Linked DNA regions of Solanum lycopersicum. The protein of the gene in region 1 interacts with the protein of each later gene in a biochemical or structural test. Links are inferred from orthologs where the notes say so. Each region holds a gene or a part of one and is shown on either strand. Other genes may lie near its edges. The genes, in order: increased DNA methylation 2 and methyl-CpG-binding domain-containing protein 7.

Evidence for each region.
Region 2: the proteins of increased DNA methylation 2 (region 1) and methyl-CpG-binding domain-containing protein 7 form a complex in vitro, tested with the Arabidopsis thaliana proteins (2 studies listed by BioGRID). The link is inferred for Solanum lycopersicum from reciprocal best matches to the Arabidopsis thaliana genes AT1G54840 and MBD7.

Annotation. Positions count from the first base shown.
Region 1 is NC_090800.1:85,087,694-85,097,474, reverse strand, and holds increased DNA methylation 2, read right to left. Parts: upstream 4,882-9,781; 5' UTR 4,771-4,881; intron 4,080-4,770; 5' UTR 4,046-4,079; coding exon 2,830-4,045; intron 2,697-2,829; coding exon 2,416-2,696; 3' UTR 2,175-2,415; downstream 1-2,174. Other genes in the region: cation/calcium exchanger 5, read left to right, coding at 988-1,752; signal peptidase complex subunit 3B, read left to right, coding at 5,716-5,841, 5,966-6,013, 7,398-7,460, 8,262-8,315, 8,726-8,812, 8,895-9,020. UniProt on the Arabidopsis thaliana protein: Prevents DNA hypermethylation and transcriptional silencing of transgenes and of some endogenous genes. May act as a molecular chaperone of IDM1, regulating its H3K18 acetylation activity.
Region 2 is NC_090810.1:61,667,718-61,677,521, forward strand, and holds methyl-CpG-binding domain-containing protein 7, read left to right. Parts: upstream 1-4,931; 5' UTR 4,932-5,045; coding exon 5,046-5,225; intron 5,226-5,689; exon of another isoform or gene 5,690-6,139; coding exon of another isoform or gene 6,140-6,145; coding exon 6,146-6,265; intron 6,266-6,405; coding exon 6,406-6,444; intron 6,445-7,021; coding exon 7,022-7,162; intron 7,163-8,210; coding exon 8,211-8,372; intron 8,373-8,431; exon of another isoform or gene 8,432-8,458; coding exon 8,459-8,683; 3' UTR 8,684-8,687; intron 8,688-8,837; 3' UTR 8,838-9,115; downstream 9,116-9,804. Other genes in the region: zinc finger protein ZAT11-like, read left to right, coding at 683-1,174; protein ALP1-like, read right to left, coding at 9,616-9,804. UniProt on the Arabidopsis thaliana protein: Transcriptional regulator that binds CpG islands in promoters where the DNA is methylated at position 5 of cytosine within CpG dinucleotides.

The DNA.
Region 1 (9,781 bases):
ATATTTCAGACAGAATCTTATGATCTTACAGACCAGTATCTGCTTCAGAGGTATGGTTTCGAGTTGGTGGAGAGTACAGTGATGTCTATCGGACATATGATATTGAGAAGGGGAGCTTTACTTTGGTTATGCAAAAGATTAGAAGGAAGCTTCTGAAAGCAGGGGGAGGGGGGGGGGACTTCAAATCTGAGAGATGCAGAGACATTTCGACATATGTTTATTGCTCCCTGAAGTTCAATAAGTACCATCGATTTATTTCTGTTATCAAACTGAAGGGAGTAGATCAGTAATTATTATTCCAGAAAATGCATTTAACAAGGAACGGCAAGATCTAGTAATAAAAGTGGAAAACTTCATTGAGAGAAAATTAGAGAAGCAAGGAGAATTTATTACAAAAAGGAAATTAAATCTCAATACAATCATTGAGAAGGGGGATTATGAGGCAGCTCTTCGTAACAATAATGTAGCCTGAGCACACCTTACATGGTGCAGTCCCTGACGTGACACTGGCATAATGGATGTCAAAATGTGGAATGAACTTCATCTCCATGCTTTTCAAGTGCAAGGAAGGAAATGAATAGGGGGCAAGCAACTGACAAACAGAAGAGCATGCCTAAGAAGTTGGATTGCACTCCTTCTGGAAGTTATTTTTATATCAAGCCATAAGAATTATGATGACCATAGCATTTCTCATGGCTCTAAACTCTAAAAAAATCAATAATAAATGTAACATCTAAACATACCAAGTATCTTTTGATAAGTGAGTGTGTTTTATGTGGGAATATGTTCTCAGTGTGTTTTATGGAAGCTAGTTGCTTCTTTCTGCAATCCATGTTGTTGACTAGATCACTCGTGAAGAATCCATCAGGCGCACACTAAATCCATGCTTCTATTTTATGGATTTTGATGGTGTTCACAGCATCTCAGTTTAATGTGTAGCTATTTTAATATTTTCATTTTGACATTTTAATATTTCTTTTTTGACAGGTCTCTCTAATCTGGAAACTTCCTGTCTCGATGCTCCTTAGGCTCACCATACCACAGACTGCACCTTCTGAATGGAATAGATTCTGTTTATCTTCCAACATTGCTCTCTGCCCCCTCCTCCTTCTGTTTTCCTGCAAATCTTTTGTGCCATTAAATCATCCAATCTCTTTCCTTCTCTCAGACACCCATTTGCCTCTTTGGTTCATTGTACTTTGTGCTACGTGTTCTTTGGCTGTTGTACATTTCATTGTTGAAAAGGAGGCCCCTAAAACTGAGCAAATGCCTGCAGTTGTTATAGCATTTGTTATGAGTGTATTTTGGATCTCCACAGTTGCTGGGGAACTTCTCAACTGTCTTGCCGTTCTTGGAGAGCTCCTGAAACTGCCTGCTGCCTTTCTTGGTTTAACGGTGCTTGCATGGGGAAACTCAGTAGGTGATCTTGTTGCAGACGTGGCTGTAGCAAAGGCTGGCCAACCGGCCATGGCCATGGCTGGATGTTTTGCTGGGCCAATGTTTAACATGCTTTTTGGGCTTGGAACTGCTTTGGTTATGCAGACAGCAAATGTATATCCAGAAGCTTATGAGCTTCATCTCCACGTGAGTATCGTGGTTGCTTTTGTTTTCTTGCTATTGAGCTTGATGGGATCTTTGCTTTTAGTTACTTGGAATAGGTTCCGGGTGCCAAGATTCTGGGGATTTTGCCTAGTAGGACTCTATGTTGTATTCATGATAATAAGCCTGATCATTGCCACGTTCTCTGCCTGAGTTTTGGAGAGACAATTGATTCATCCATCACTGGTCTGGAACCATGCGGGGGCTGCTAAACTCTTGAAGATGAAGTAGGTGGCAAGTGCGCCTTTGCCACAATATCTAGGAAATGGTTATGTTGATAGCCTTCATTCACTTATCAGTTAAAGATCTTATTGGCTTCCATTCAAGAACATAATAATTCATTTTTTTTTTCAGTTCATTGTGGAGTGAGTAAAGTGAGCTGGAAAGCATAATCCACTGGTTGTATAGTAAATTTCTGGTCAACTAGAAGCTTCATGTAAGCCAGTACATTTTTTCTTGTGAAATTCAACAGAATTATAGAGAAAAATGCTTAACTTCGTATTTATGCAGAACTACTCGAATCATACTATCATTTTTTTTAAAAATAGAGTACTGCTTAGCTCTCTGGATAAAGGTTATTATTGTTGATTTTGTGTTACGTGATCAATTGTCATAATTAAGTAATGTAGATTTTACACCCAGATTGATCTTTAAATGTGGGTCAGCCTGTTTAAGCTTTTTACACCTTACCTTACTTGTAATTGAACAGGTAAGTTGGTTGCATTCACACCAAATTACTATTATCATAGACATAAGCTAGGTTGCAATTTGTAGAGGTACTACCTCCTAATTAACAAGACACTAATTTACCCTATTCTATTGAGAATATGTTTCTGCTTTCAATACGATTCCCTCGAGAATTCCATCAGTGCCAAAAATACCAGAAAATGCTTGAGGGTCAACTGGGCCTGGCAGCTTGAAAGAGATGGTGAAATTTCCTGTTGGACATAGGTTCTGAGTTTGCATCTCGAATACTTGAGAGTACTTGTGGACTGTCCTATCACCAGTTGTCATTCCCTTAATCAATACTTTACCATCAATCTCCACTTCACAAGTAAATTCTCCTGAGTTAACCATAGATTTTGAACAAATTAGTCCTGGTCGAATCCAAAATCATCAGAAGAATGCAGTGCGCCATATTGTAAAAGGATTTGGCAGATCAAATATGTCAACTGGGACTAATTGCAAATTCAGATGTGAAAAATATTTTAGATCATGATTGTAACTTACTTTCATCTCTCTGTACTCCAGGGAGTGATACACGGAACAAGTAAGCATCCTCACTTTCTCCTACATCCAAGAGCCCGAGAACTGGTCCTATCTTACCCTTCGCTGCACTCCCAGCCACTGCAAATCCACTTTTAGTAGCACCAACAATGTTACTTAGCTCCTCCATAGAAGGGCAAGAAGGAAGGAAGACAATGCTAAGCTCTGAGTCGTCAGAGTTGGTGTGCTTTGATGATGGACCCATAGACTCTTCCGCCAGTGGACTGACATCCTTAAAGAGGCTACTAAAAGGAGTATCATCAGATTTTTTAGAGCTATCTGGTGGCGCATCAGTAAACTGGCTGACAGCATCATTCCTCAAGAGACTTCTACAAAGTGTAGTGTCAAATTGTCGATTGCGATGAGGTGGCATATTACTACATGAGCCATCATTCAAGAGACCACTAAAAGGTCTAGTGTCAGATTGTCCATTGCTATCAGGTGGCACACCATTAAATGGTTCATCAGAAGCATCCTTCAAAAGACTAGTAAAAGACATATAGTCAAATTGTTCATTGTCAAGTCGTAAATCCTTAAATGGCTCAGTACTTGAAGGTATCTCCTTATATGGTAGGCTACTAGCAGCTAATGATGCATATTGGAGGATATCACCAGGATTGGATATCTCCTTGTTTCGAATATTAGTTAGAGCTTCGTAATCAACATCGGCTTGTGATTTTGTGCAATCTTTGTCCATGACCAGATGTTCTAGACCAGTGAGCTTCTTGAACCTCTTAACACTATCTGGTTCGATATAACTGGTATCAGGGTCATGGATGAACACAATGTTTGCAATAACATTATACACATGACAGCATAAATGGGGATGCAGGTTGGGAGGAAACAGATCACAGAACCGAGGATAAGCTGCTGGTTGTTTACGGTAAAGAGTAGGAAGCTTCCCATGAAAGTACTGGTGCAGCCACGGTTGTGCCAGGACAACAGACCGATCTGCCTTTCTCAATGCATGATAGTAAACCCTTTCTACTTCTATGGTTCTTAGGCATGAACCAGCTAATTGATTGGAACTGTATGGAGGTAAGCCTAGACCCTTTCTTTGCAAAACTGACCTTTTGGGATATTCTACGGGGATATCTGGTCCAAAGAAGGTTCCAATGATGAAGTAAAGGAGGAAAAACTGATCATCCGTTGGAACCAATCCAGTGAAGTTGTTGTCCATGCTCGATGGAAAGAGTAAGAACTCTGTGATTAATCTGTTTCAGATGAAATGAAACAGATAAAAATATTGACTCTAGACTTGAGTAAAAAACACGGTTGAAACATATACAATGAAGACAGTAAGTAGTGAAAAAAGAAGAAGAAGTAAACACTAAGATTGATGATATGTGATTATAGCTTGAAGCGAGTTCAAAAGATCAATTATATGGAGTTTTTACCATCTATTACCGTATATGGATTTCGCAAACGGAAGGTTGAAATCAAGAATGATTTTGATGGTTAGAACGACAAAGACACACAAAAGGATTAGTAATTGAGATTCTGTAAGTCATCCATGAGGATATTTTTGTACATAAAAAGGGGAGCCTTTTAAGTAAATGCAACAGAGCATTTTCCAAAAATATAGTTTAGGCTGCCTATCTGTTTTGACATAGATAACTTAAAATTGCTTCACTAGACTGGATTTAAGCAGGTACAAACACAAATTAAGAGCAATTTCTACACTAGATCAACACATTGGCAAGTCACATCCACATGCAACAACTCATTGATGATTCTTACATGCAAGAACACTAAAAACATGATAGTACAAATCCAGAATCAGAGAAAAATTGACAAAAAGAAGACATCAAGTGAAGTGTAAAATTAGGAAATACAAAATGTAAAATACAACTCTATGTTTTTTTCCAAAGTGAGAAATCAATAAGTGAAGTGTAGAAAGCATACCACAATGAATTCTCCTTCTCCAGAGAGTAAGTTGAACTATTTGCTAGTGCCACAAAAGAAAGCAACGAGGTTTTTCAGAAATCAGTCATCCCAATCACTGCCACGCGTCCTTTACTTGGTTATGCAATATAATTGGTAAATAATATTATATAAGAATTGTTTTTTCTTATACGGTAAATAGCCTTTAGTTCAAGCGGTTTGATTTTATCAAATTTTGATTTGCTTTTAAAAAAAATGTGCATTGTAAATCAAATTAATTTACTTTAGTTTGATTTTTTTTACTTTAGTTTGATTTAATTTAGTATTTTTAAATCGATTTATGGTATTGACTGAAAAAATAAAATAAGAATAAAGTATAGAATACTTAGAAATTTAAAATTATAATAAGAAATGATATGTCGTGGAATACTTGTTGTATTAATTAAAACACTATATTTATCTTTATCAAGAACATGTTTTTCTTAAAAATTAATATTTAAAGTTAACTATTGAATGGTATATTTGTTGTTGCATTAATTTGTTCATCTCCACCTTTCCCCAATTGTTGTGATATAGTTGCCTTTATCATTAGAAATTAGAGCATAAATTATATATACATATTACAATCTTATTCACCAACTAAACATTTCTTAAATATCAAATCAAAAAATAAATATATACTTAATTTTAAATGATAAAAATATTGATATCTAAAAATATAACGGAAGAATTATTTGTCATTTCTCTCAATAAAATAAAGATACTCCAATATAAGATGATGAGTATTGACATGTTCTATCAAATAATAAATTGACAACTCAACACAAACCATTAAATTTCAGACCAAAAATAAAAAAGAGAGAAGGGTAAAAACAAGATTTGACTAAAGTCTGAACTCTTAAGCGTTAAAAGCCCCATTTTCCATATTCTGAGAAGACCAAAAATTGAAGAAAATCGGGAGCAAAGATGCATTCATTTGGGTATAGAGCTAATGCTTTGTTAACATTGGCAGTCACCATCCTTGCGTTTATGTGTGGAATAGCTTCTTTCTCCGACAATTTCAATACTCCGATTCCAACAACTGAAGTTCAAGTACACCTACCTCCTTAAAAACCCTACTTGAATCTATGTTTTCCTTTTGTTAACTTTGTCGATTGTAATTAGATCTGTTAATTTTGTAAATGACCCACGTGTTTGAACGCTTGATTTTCTGCAGGTGTTGAATATCAATTGGTTCCAGAAGAAACCTGATGGGGACGATGAGGTATTTTCTTTGACGAAAGATTTGTATCTGTCGATTTTGATAAAGGGTTTTTCTGGGTTTTTAGTTTCGGATTAATTTTTGTTGAATTCGGTATGTGAGATTGTAAATTGGGTTCAAAAACTGGTTGAACTATGATGGTTGACCTTTCTTCTTTTTTTTTTTCTAATAATTTCTATTTCAAATTCTTGAATATGGGTATTGCTGGATTCTTTGAGGAATCAGGAATCTATGTGATCTATGTACATTCTTGGTTAAATTTGTTTGCTTTCTCATTTGAGAATGGAAAAATCTTGAGATTTTCTGTTTTGAGGTAATATAACTATAACATTGTTCAATTTCAATAACCAAGTTTGATGCATATATGTACGGACATTCTTTGTACTATCAATTGTATACTCTCCATTATAATACCTTCTCTCTAAAAAAATTTTCAATTTCAATCTAGGAGATCCTCCTAGTTAGGCATGAGTATCAACCTAAATAATCATGAATTGTTAGTTAAGGTTTGAACTAATTTTCTCTAAACCCCCATGATATCACATTGTTCTTGAAAATACTAGTAAAAGTTATGAGTTATGACTTTCTTCACCACTCAAACTCACAGGGATCAAACAGAAGAGAATCAACGAATTCCTCGATGAAATCACAAGTAAATTGGACATAATTCATTAGATAAAGACGACCAAATAAAACAGTCCTACTGTACAGAAAAAGGAACTAAGTCGGCTAACTCCTTCGAGATCCTCTTCTTCTTTTGCATTGTTTGAGTGCCTTGAGGCATTCAACTAAATCTGCAGTTCCAGATTGTAAAGATAAAGCTATCATATGTAATACTATTAACTAATTCCCAATTTCTTAGAGTATCCATTGGTTTTTAGTCTATTTTAAATGTTAGAGTTGCCAGTAAGTTTCCAATATTAACTTCAATAATAGAGGGCTAACTAAGCTTACTAGAGGTGTGCATTGGTCGGGTCGGTTTGGTTTTATGTACTATCGGGTTTTAAATACGTTAAACCAACATCTAATATGTTGAACCACTTTTTTCGGTTCGGTTTAGAGCGAAAGGACCGCAGACAACTTTTGAGTAAAACTCTGGAGGAAAAACAATCTTCTATTAGTATTTTCATGAATCTATGTGATATATGTGCATAAAAAAATAATCGTATGTTTTTTTAGATCTCTTAATCATTGAAATATCATAAAAAAATATGCTAGCACATTATATTGCCTAAGGTGTCAGTTTATTTTCTTTATCTTGTTGATCTACATGAACTTGGTAGCTGCTCTTTTGTTAAGCATTCTTGTTACCATTGTTGGTTGAGTGGTTATATGAACTTAATGAAAGAAGTTTGTCTATATCATGTATACTTTTCCTTTTATGCAGGTCAGTTTGACCTTGAACATATCGGCAGATTTACAGTCATTGTTCACGTGGAATACGAAGCAGGTTTAGTGTCTATTTTATTTGCACCATAGTTTGGATTTCACTCTTTTAACCCTATTACTTGAGTCTGATTTTCTTCTATGTAAAGTATGAAAGTGTGGATGTATCAATCTGTATACATCTTATGCTCAATTAAGCTAATCTCTAAGACATAATATATGTATACTTTTCATCCCCGTTCTGAAACACTGGAGTTCACTAGAGTGAAGGGGAGAGGTGGTCATATTAGATGTTGATGCCACGGTTAAGACTCTGGATTACAGGATGTGGAAATTGGAAAATAGAATGCATTACACAAATTTACGAGGCTATTAGTGACTATATAAACCAGTGTTAGATAGTTAAATCTATGCCTTCTTGTACAATTTGTTGACGTTTTCCCAGTTAGTCCAATGACTTGGTGCAGTATTTCCTCTTTCACCTTTTCTTTTTAGTAAAAATTAAAATGAACTTAAATTATTCCTGTTGCAGTGCTTGTGAGAAAGCTGGTTCTATTTTGTTTCCTCCCTTTTTATTTTCCTTGAGAATTTGGAGGACGGGATTTAGAGTGTCTTTACAGCTTCAGTATACCATATATTGAAATTCTGCTACCTAACATGTGTAACAAGAGACTGGAATATTTCAAAAAGAACAAGACTACGTGCAATAAGTTTCCTAGATTTCTGAATTCAAAGTTTTTTAGTTTTAACTTCGAACACTTTAAGAGATATGTTGGCATTGATCGGTCAGATCTCTGTTGGTTGGATTACCTTTATAGTTACTTCTAGCAACTGTGCAATTCTAATAATGTTTAAAATTTTGCAGGTGTTCGTATTTTTGGCAGCTGAGTATGAAACTCCAAAGAACGCTTTGAATCAGGTCTATCTTCTATTGGTTGAGAACTGCATATAATTAATATCTTCCTTGTATTTCATTTGTTAGTTAGATCTTATTTGAGGCTCGTGTCTTTGTCTGATAAATGTATTGCAACTGAAAGTAAGGCTTAGCACAGTATGTATCAACATATCTGCCCTTTGCTTCTCCTTGTAAATCAACGGTCCTGTACTTTGTTGTCAGTGATAGGATTTTCCTGTAAGTATGAATGTATGCTTAGTGAAGCCTCGTGGGGCTGTCTTCTCCAAATTTGAGGAGCAGGCTTTAGAAGCTCCAAGGATACGTCAACTCATTAATTTTTAGGACCTGCTTGAGAATTTGTTTTGTATTTTGTTTTCCTACCCGATGAGAGTTTGGTATGATTCCTTCTACTGACCTGATTGTTTTACTAACAGATATCTTTGTGGGATGGTATTATTCCCACCAAGGAACATGCAAAATTTTTGATTCACACCACAAACAAGTATCGGTTTGTTGATCAGGTTAGTTTCTGAAGCATTTTGCCTTATTCTGCTTTCTTCTTTATCTCATGATTTTCACAAGTACCTAATTCCTTGTTTGTAGGGAAGCAACCTCCGTGGTAAAGCTTTTAACCTAACATTGCATTGGCACGTTATGCCAAAGACAGGGAAAATGTCTGCGAACAAACTTGTGATGACTGGTTACCGCTTGCCAGAGACATACAGATGATGAATTTTTTCCTCGGTGCAATTTACCTGTAACTTTAGCCTCCACTGATAAGTAGGGGAGAATGTGCTTAAATGAGATGAATAGGATAATTTTGTCCCGGATAATGTCAGGATTGCTGTTTATCGGCCTCAAATTATAATATTGATACTTTAGACCTTTGATATTATGATTGTTTTGTGTGACTAAAACCACCATTATTCCCTTTCTTTTCCGGGTAGGAGATGAACAATCAATATTGGAACGAAGTGATTGAAGTTGGAACTGAAAAAAACCTTGTGGAACGTAGCTAATAGTGAAGTTCCCAGCTGCAGGCCATTTTTATCAGTTGAGAGTGTAATAAGTGAAAAGGAGACTTGTTACTGTTAAGTAAAGGAAGATGTGATAAGGTTATGATGAATCAGTTGGAGGTCATTGAGGAGGATGAAACAAAATAACAATGACAACACTATACGGGTTTTGCGGAAACACTTGTAAAGCAACTAAGAGAGTGAAGTTTATCATCAAAATACCATGTCTTAAAACCTCGAATACTCAGGAATCGACTTGTAACATGCTAAACTGAGCTTGTTTACAGGATCCCCTGTTTAGCGTCATTGATTTAACGAGAGACAAAAGCAAGCCTGACATCCATTAAAAACGACAAAATAGCTCAACTATTGTCTCTATCCATAACTGAAGATAAACTAAGACCTTTCCCATACTATAAAATGTGTTTGTTCATCACCATACAAAGTAATAACAACTGTCTGTTCTCTCATCAG
Region 2 (9,804 bases), on another chromosome or scaffold:
TTTGTAGAGTTTAAAACAAATTTTACTTATTTATGTTATGGTAAATTATTTCGTTAAAGGTGAAAAAAGTTTAATTATTTTTAGCTATAATAAGATAACATTCTTTTCAAAACAGATTAAAAAGAAATAACATACTTGAGAATCATTTGTTGTGAGGTATAAGATATAATAATTTTAGAATAAAATACAGGATTACTATATCAGATGTTTGGTTTAAAGTAATAGATAACCCTTTGATTATTTATCCCATCATTTCCGTTATAGTAATTGAATAAGTCATATACATGACCGAATAATTTGTTCCAATCAAACGAGTCCCGAGTAATATAAAATTAGTCTTAAAAAGCACACTGTCCTTTTCACGATGCTACGTATGCACGTGTTTTTCTTTTTTCAACCCCTTTATTTGGTCAACCATACACATATGAAAGATGTTGGAAGTGTTCTAGAAACCTCAAAGAAGCCAACATTATTTTACTTTTCTTGTCTCTTTTTAATTGCACATTTTCTTTGACTCACTTAACCAACAAGGAATATTCAGACACACGCAAAAAAGTCAAGATACAAACTTATATATATATATATGAAGCAACACTAACCAATTAAGTGTATCATATTATTCTTCAGCTTCTAACTTCAATTATTTCTTTCAAAGTACTTCTAAATTTGATATCTTTGTAATATGACATCTATGAAAAGAAGCAGAGATGAGAATATGCAAATTGAAGTAGAGGCCATGGCTAATTGCGCTTTAATGCTTTTGTCTCGTTTTAATAACAACACTTCATCATCATCAGATCATCATCACATTAATGATTTTGAATGCAAGACTTGCAATAAACGCTTCCCATCTTTCCAAGCCTTAGGCGGTCATCGTGCAAGTCATAATAAAAAGCCAAGATTAATGGGAGAGTTTCTTGTTGAAACCAACAAAAAGAATAAGATGCATAAATGTTCTATTTGTGGTGTGGAGTTTTCTTTAGGTCAAGCATTGGGAGGGCACATGAGGCGTCATCGCGATGAAATTAATAAAACGATAATACCAGTGTTGACCAAGTCCAATAGCAGCAAGAGGATTTTTTGTTTGGATTTAAACTTAACCCCTCGTGATGATAATGTTGTTGATTTCAAGTTATCGCCAATTGCATCTCCTGTTCTGAGAATTTTTATTTAATTACTCCATTATATATTCTTGTAAGATTAATTAGAAGAAGAAGCTGTAATACTTCAGTTGTTAATTCATTCATTAGTTCATCCCCTTTATATATTGCAGTAAATCGTAATTAGTTTACGGAATATATATATAATCAAAATTCTCTAAGGCATGACATGAGATGACATTCAGGTCAAATTTGATTTTTTCGCTAATTATTTGACATAGGATAACACTTATTTGAATTTCGAGATTATTTTTATGCAAAAATTTATACGAACATCCGTTAAGACCTTATCTGTGGAGTCGGTTGTCACCACAGTCAAATTAGCACATTTTCAAGGTTAGACGAGCAGCAGAGCAGGTAAACCCCTTATTTTTCAGATTTTAATATGCTATAGTCCACCATCTTTTTCTGGTCATTCGGAATTTTGAGATCATTTTTGCCAAAAATTTACATGGACGTCCGTTAAGACCTTATCTATGGTGTCGGTTGGTCACCACGGCCAAATTAGCACATTTTCAATGTCAAACAAGCCCTAAAGCGGGTAAACCCTTTATTTGCCAATTTTCGTGTGCTATAGTCCACCATCTTTTTTGGTTATCCAGAATTTCGCAATCATTTTTGCCAAAAATTTACATAGACGATTCTTAAGACCCTACCTATTGAGTCGGTTGGTACCACGGTCAAAACGATCCATTTTCAAGTTCAAACGAGCCCCATGTAAGCCCCCCACTTTGTCGATTTTGGTGTGCTATAGTCCACCAACTTTTTTGGTCATCCGGAATCCCGAGATCATTTTTGCCAAGAATTTATACAGATGTCTATTAAGATCTTATTAAAGGACTCGGTTGGTCACCACGGCCAAAACGATCCATTTTCAAGATCAAACGAGCCTAGAACAGTTTAGCCCCTCATTTTGCCAATTTTCGTGTGCGATAGTCCACCATCTTTATTTGTGATCCGAAATTTTGACGTCATTTTTGCTTTCATGGACGTCCATTAAGACCTTAGTTATAGATCTAGTCGGCCCTAACAATGAAAACGGTCCATTTTTAAGTTCAAACGAGCTCCGGAGTGGGTAAACCTCCCCTCTCATTTTACCGATTTTCGTGTGCTATAGTTCACCATCTTTTTTGGTGATCCGAAATTTCGACGTCATTTTTTCAAATTTTTTCATGGACAATTGTTAAGACCTTAGCTATGGAGCCAGTTGGCCCTGAAGGCCAAAACGACCTATTTTCAAGGTAAAACAAGCCCCAGAGCATATAAACCTTCTATTTTTACCGATTTTATGTGTGCTATAGTCAATGGATTTTCGGTGATTTAGAATTCCGACGTCATTATTTTTCAAAAAAATTTCATGGATGTCTATTAATACCTTAGCTGTAAACCTAGTTGGTTCAGATTGCCAAAACGATCTATTTTTAAGGTCAAACGAGCCTCAAAGCAGGTAAATCTCCCTTTTTGTTGATTTTCGTGTGTTATAGTCCATGTATTTTTTATCATCCAGAATTTCAACGTCTTTTTTGCTGAAAATTTTCATGCACGTCCATTAAAACCTTACATATGAACTAGTTGGCCTTGATAGCAAAAATGGTGACTTTTTATTTTTCGATTCTTTTTTAAAAATCTATCCAAACGAGCTCTAAATGGAAAGTAATAGGAGGATGGCAAATGAGATGATATCAAATTGTCTTTTTTTTTTTTTTATGTTGTAAAAACTTAAACAATATATTTTTAAAATATAATTAAATACACTATATCAAATATCATTGCATTCGTCACCATCACCAACCTAAAAATAAGTACTATTACACTGTTGCTGCTAGTTAATTAGTGCTAATTAAGGAATTAGCACTAAACCATGTTGGTTGGTCTTTAGGTCTCAACTTGTGTGTTCCAAGTCACTGCTTTCATCACCAAGAAAGTACTTAGTTCAAATGGCACAATTTGTCCTTTACAAATCGCTACGCCATGTGTTTTCAGCAGCCCCTCATAATGTCAATCTTAATAGTCTTTTTAAATTAGATGTCATATTTTATATTCAAAATTTAAATTATTTGTATTTGAGTTCATATTATAAAATATATTTGTAAAAGAAAATTCATAATTTTATATTTATTATTCATTTATTTTATAAGAAAACATAATTTATAATTGATATTAATTATTACTCTAATCAACCTTTAAAACATTTATGTTGGATATAATCACTGTTCTCATCAACCAAATTTATTGTTGATATTATTATTCTTACCAACTTTTGAATAATTTTTAATATCGGACCTCACCAATCACATTTGGAGTTGATATTATTATCTTACCAACCTTTTAAATTATTTACATCGAGGTGTGTGAAAAGATCAACAAATATTTTAAAGATAACTTTATGATTGTGGTAGAGCGTCCGCTCCTACTTGGAAGTGTTGTAGAAAGCTCAAAGAAGGCAACAATACATTAATTTTCCGCTCACATGAAATGACCTGAAATATTCCTTTTAACGCGTTACCACATAGAGTACCCTACCTACCCCTCACTTAAAATCATTTGATTCCTTTTTCACTAGTAAACTACTATTCCGTTGAAATATTTTAATAATTTTTTATAAGATTAACGAGCAATTTATATTTAATAAGGGTGATATCTATTTTTATTTGTCATGATTCTTTTTTAAAGTCAAACGATAAAAATTTTAATTAACATTTTATGATATATTTTTTTAAGATATTGATATTTAAACTTTTTGTTTAAAATATCAAATTGATATAATTTAATTTAACTTTAAAAATTAGTCAAATTAACTTTTAAAAGACGCCACATGATAAATAAAAATAAATAGAAAAAATAATTATTTTTTGTCTAAAATCAAACAGTATAGTTAAACAGATAAAAGTATCGATCTCTAGTATTTCTTTGACTCACTTAACCTAAAGTCAAACATTTTATAAAGAATAATGTGATGCACGTTTTTTAAAAAACACGCCAAGCTTGTCTTATCTCTTGGTATAAATTTGAAGCAAAGAGAAACCAAATGTGTATCCTATTCTTCACTTCAAATTTCAAAAACAACTTTAATTTGTGTCGTCTTTCTTGATAATATGAAAAGAAGCAGAGAAGAGAATATGCAAATTGAAGCAGAGGCCATGGCTCACTGCGCCTTAATGCTTTTGTCTCGTTTCAACAACAACACTTGTTCATCGTCATCATCAGATCATCATCATCATATTAATGATTTTGAATGCAAGACTTGCAATAAACGCTTCCCATCTTTCCAAGCCTTAGGCGGTCACCGTGCAAGTCATAATAAAAAGCCACGATTAATGGGAGAGTTTCTTGTTGAAACCAACAAAAAGAATAATAAGATACATAAATGTTCTATTTGTGGTGTGGAGTTTTCTTTAGGTCAAGCATTGGGAGGGCACATGCGGCGTCATCGCGATGAAATTAATAAAACGATAATACCAGTGTTGACCAAGTCCAATAGCAGCAAGAGGATTTTTTGTTTGGACTTAAACTTAACCCCTCGTGATGATAATGTTGTTGATTTCAAGTTATCGCCAATTGCATCTCCTGTTCTGAGAATCTTTATTTAGTTACTCCATTATATATTCTTGTAGGATTAATTAGAAGAAGAAGCTGTAATACTTCATTGGTTAATTCATTCATTAGTTCATCCCCTTTATATATTGCAATAAATCGTAATTAGTGTACGGAATATATATACACTTAATTATTAGTATTTTTTTTTTTTTAACATACATAGATATTTGAAGTTGTCATAAAAAAAGAATAATGCATGTGACTAGTAATGTGTCATGAAAACAATAAACAATTAGCAATATATATATATACAAGTAATAAGTGGTGTCATGTTTAGAAGAGGCATACATGGAGAAACAGAATTCCTTACGCCGCCACCGAAGCGGCGCAGAGTACCCAACTTCCGGTCAACTAACGGCGTCTTCCTCGGCGATTACTCCGTACAGACCTTTGTCCTCAAGGTTTAAGTTACCCCCTGGTTGGGGTATTGAACAAGTGCTTCGCTCGAGTGGCGATCGAGTTGACAGAGTACACTTTTCTACTTTCAACTTAATTCGCTATTCATTTCTCACTAGTTATTATTTTCTTAGTTGGTGAAAAGGTTAAGTAGTAAATTCATATTCTGTTTTAATCAGATTGTGAATCATTTATTCCAAAGTGGAGCTAAATTTGAGTAGATGTTCACTTTCAATCATTTGAAACTAACGTTATTTTAAAGGTTTAGTGTTGCTTGAGATATGTTAGGGTTTAGAATGCTTTGCATTTTAGTGACTCTAGCGAATGCATAGGAGGAAGGATTACAGAAGCATGTATGTATAGGAGCCGAAAGAGCTCAACTCACTTAATTTTAGAGAAAGCAAAATCTGTTGTCATGGAATTGGAATATAATAGTGGACAAATGTCCCTGGGGAACGAAACTTACATGGTAGTATAGCTGACATGTAAGAGAGAGATATGAATGAATATGACATCTTTAGGACTTTTTCTCTCAGGTTATGCCGTGCGTGCGTGCGTGATCAATGTATCTCTACTTTGACGCGTCGATTTTGACCTTCAATTTTACAAGTCTATCACTGTTTTAGATCATTTCTGGTGCAAATAAACATAGACAGCAGAGGATCAATGATGAGTCCTTGCTACTATAATTACAGATATGGCATTCAATTCCAGATTTCTAACCTAATGTCATTGGTGGAAACCTAACGCTGAGCATCTGTGTTTACACAATGTGTAGATATCAACACCTCAAAAGATTAAAGCTGATTTTTGGATTGGAAATTTGTAACCTTTTGAGTGACCTATACATGGTTGGCCACCTTCATTCAGTTCGATGTGATGGAGCTAAATTTTTTTCCTATCCATGTGTCGGATTAATTATTAATTATATAAATGCCAATTATGTTTTAAAGCATCATACTCGTTAGCACATACATTATATTTTCATGCAGTACTACTATGAGCCTGGGACTGGACAAAAGTTCAGATCATTGAGAGATGTCGAGCGACGATTGAACGGTGAAATATTTGCTCCTAGAAACAGGGCATCGGGAGTGAGAAACTATCCTAAGGCAAGTTAAAGAATTGAATATTTCACAAAGATTTAGTAATATCGCTAGTTTGATGATGCCTGAGTATGAAATTCCTCTTTTTTTTTTTACTTGGTGTATTTATCTGTTCTGGTCATACACGGAGTATTCGTCTTTCACAGAGTTCTCTGTCTCGGAAGATGGTCATCTGCGATGGGAAGGTACTGCACTTTGGCTCTGAGATCTTTTACATAACTACTTCTTGTGGATGGTATGTGTTGAATCATTATTTAAGTAATATATTTTCGTTAAACTTTATTTACATTTTTTTTTCTTGTGTTTTTTTATCTTGGGGTCGGGACAAGGGCAGCTGGAAGAAGAGGGTCATATTGTTGCTCTTCTTCTCCCTATTGTTCTTGTAATTGAAAATTGTCAAAAAACAATATACTTGTTTTTTCAGAAGAAAACGAATTATGCTAATTCGTGTGGGGAACTTCTAGTCATTTAACCTACTAAAAAGTAACTCTGAAAAAATATAGTCCAAATTTTCGGTCTAATGTTGGTTAGTAAGATTCTGAATCTTCTCCTAGTAATTGCAACAGCAATCTCAAGCTTTTAGTGTAGTGAAGGCCTTGGGAACTTTGAAGTCTGTGCAGAATACCAATTTCTCACTGTTATCGTCGTTTTGTTATGATTTTAAAAACTTTAATCATCACATGATGGTGCCTTTAGGCAAGGTGAAAGATGTATTCTGAATCAAATAGGAAACTTGATAGTTGTCATTGGATTAAATTTCAGATCGTTAGAATGGATGAAGAGCAGTTGAATGAATGGGCAATTGTGCCGTCAACAAGAGCAGCCACCTTACCCTATGACCTTCCTGATGGTTGGGTGATAGAAGAGGTACCACGTACAGACGGAAGCAGCATGGTGGATAAGGTACGATCTCATGTCCTTCAGTAGTGAATTTGTTTCATCTATCTACCTCTTGATATCAGCTGCTGTAATGTTTGCTCAAATTGGCCCAATCAGATGTGTCTAATAAATCGGGGTAATTTTTAGATCGGAAGTAACATCTCTGGCAGTTTGTGAAGTATAGTTTTCTTAGGTAAGAGAGCATTCCTCTAAGGGTGGATAGCGGATGGTGAGGCAGGGTTGGAGTAGAATTATCCTAAAACTTTGAACTCTTCTCATAAGCTTTTCCTAAACATTGTAGAACATGTCTCGTGATTGAGATTCATTGATATGTGCTTCATTTTGCACGTTTGAGAGAGTGCTATTTGAGCATGCTCTTGCTTTTTACGCAATTATCAGGAGAATTACTATCTGTGACAGGCATTAGGTGCATTAGTAATTACCTTGCTGATCTCATATAATCGACATTGGCGGACCAGTCGTGGGGTGCACCCTGACCCTAGTGTTGTCAATTGATGCCACTTTGTCAAAATGTTATTTTACTAAATATGTATGTATTGAAAACAAGCAAAATGAAAATATCGGGTGTAAATTAGAAAAATGACACCGCATGTCAATATAGTAACTAATTTATGTGTTCACTTTTTAAATGTTCACACTGTTTACGAAATATTCTGCGTAAGCCACTGTGGAGAACTAGATTAGATTTTACAACCTTGCTAGAAATCTAAGTGAATTATTTTAGTTTATAGGACTGTATAATCCATCACATGTGGGCACAACATCATAGTTCCATCCTTAAAACCCTGACGGATGTGCTAAGACCTTCTCCACACCGTGTGGAAGGACCACATATGAGGTAGGGGTAAGGTCTGATACACTCCACCCTCTCCGAACCCCACTTTGTGAGACTACACAGGGTATGTTGTTGTTCTGTGTTTCATCTATTAACATGCTGTTCTTGTTCGTTTGGGATATTATTTCAACGACTACTCCGTTTCTCCTTTTCCTTGTTATGGAAAGTGCCTCTCTGATGAAATTGTAAACTTTTTTTTTTGGTCCTCGTGTGCAGTATTACTATGAACCAGGTAGTGGACAAAAATTTAGATCCAGGATAGCGGCACAAAGATACTTGGCTCAAATGAGAGAAAATGTTCCTTTGTCCGCTACTCTAGAAGAATTGAAAGAGAATAAACCACTGTCCAAGATGTTTAAGTTGTACCATCATGCAAAGGTGAGCTAATATCATGAAGGGCAATATAAGCATGACATTTATTTTCTTTTGATGTCAAGAATATGTCTGCTTATTTGCCTTTGTAGAAATCTCTTCCATGTAAGAGGAACATCGTTACAGAGAATTCGGACAATTCATCGTTTCTTTCTCCACCAGCAAAAGTAAATTGGGTTCTTTCTAGTCCTAAAGGGGATGCTTGGAATCCTGTGATTTCTGGAACACCTATTCCTGATTCACTAAAACAACAATGGACTAAAAGATTCAAGTTGTTCATGAATGACGAGAACCTGAATGCAGAAAAGTCAGACTAGAAAGGTAAGTGAAAGCACTAAAGCTTCAACTCTTCTATACTCCCTTTCATATACTATATATGTATATTTCCTCTGGAGGTAACGTTTCCCAACAAACATGTGGAAGCGCACCTGAACACAGCTCTCTGCATTTGTTTTCTTATCCTCCTTGCAGGCACTAAACGGAGAGAATGCAGTTGTTTACGCTTCAAGAAAGCTCGGACTGCTTCTGACCTATGAGAATTGGATGCTGAATCTTGTACATACTAACATTATGCAACTCCTTAATCACTTTGCTGTTTAACCACTGTAGAGAATCTGTTGTCCTGTTTATTCTGTGTTTGTTCATGTGTTGTATAACAATTCGACAACTTTTTTCTTATGGTACATGTTCAAGTACGGATGTACAATTAAAGTTTGTCAGTTAAAGGCAGTATAGCAGCATTTAGTATATATCCTGATAAAAACTTGCTCAAGAAAAGAGTTTCGCACTCTTACAACGCCAGCACACCTGTTAAAACTCTCTTCGGTACTACAAATCGAGCTTCCTAAAGAGGTGCTTTCTGGACTCGATTCACGTCTGCTCTAATGTGATAAAACACTCCGATTTAGAGTTAAGCCAACGGTAGGAACAACTCAAAGTTGCTAACTGTGAAAGTTACCAAGAATTTGGGCAACCCTTGGCACCATTCATAGCACAAGTTAAACAAAATGCTAAATATTGAAAGTTACCAAGAATTTGGATAACAAAAGACTCTATGCTTAAATAAGGAAACTGTCCACCCATGATGTCTTATTTCCATGTTATATCTCAAAGTCTACTCTAATCAAACTTATAATACAAAACATAGAAATCAAATGCCTACAAATCTTTGAAAATACTCTCTATCTGTCATCAAATAGATAGCTTATGCTATTCACTCACCAAGAAGCATTCACATCATTTAAGAATGTCATCTTCCAGATAAGTGGAGGGACAGATTGTCCCTCAAAACTGAAGCAGTCTTGTCGACAGATTTACAGACCTCTTGCCGGTATCCCGGGTCATGAAGATGAGATGATAGAGGCAACTCATCCAAGACATCATCTTCCATGTCAATAACAATGTTGTGAAGAATGCAGCATACAAGGATAAACCTTGG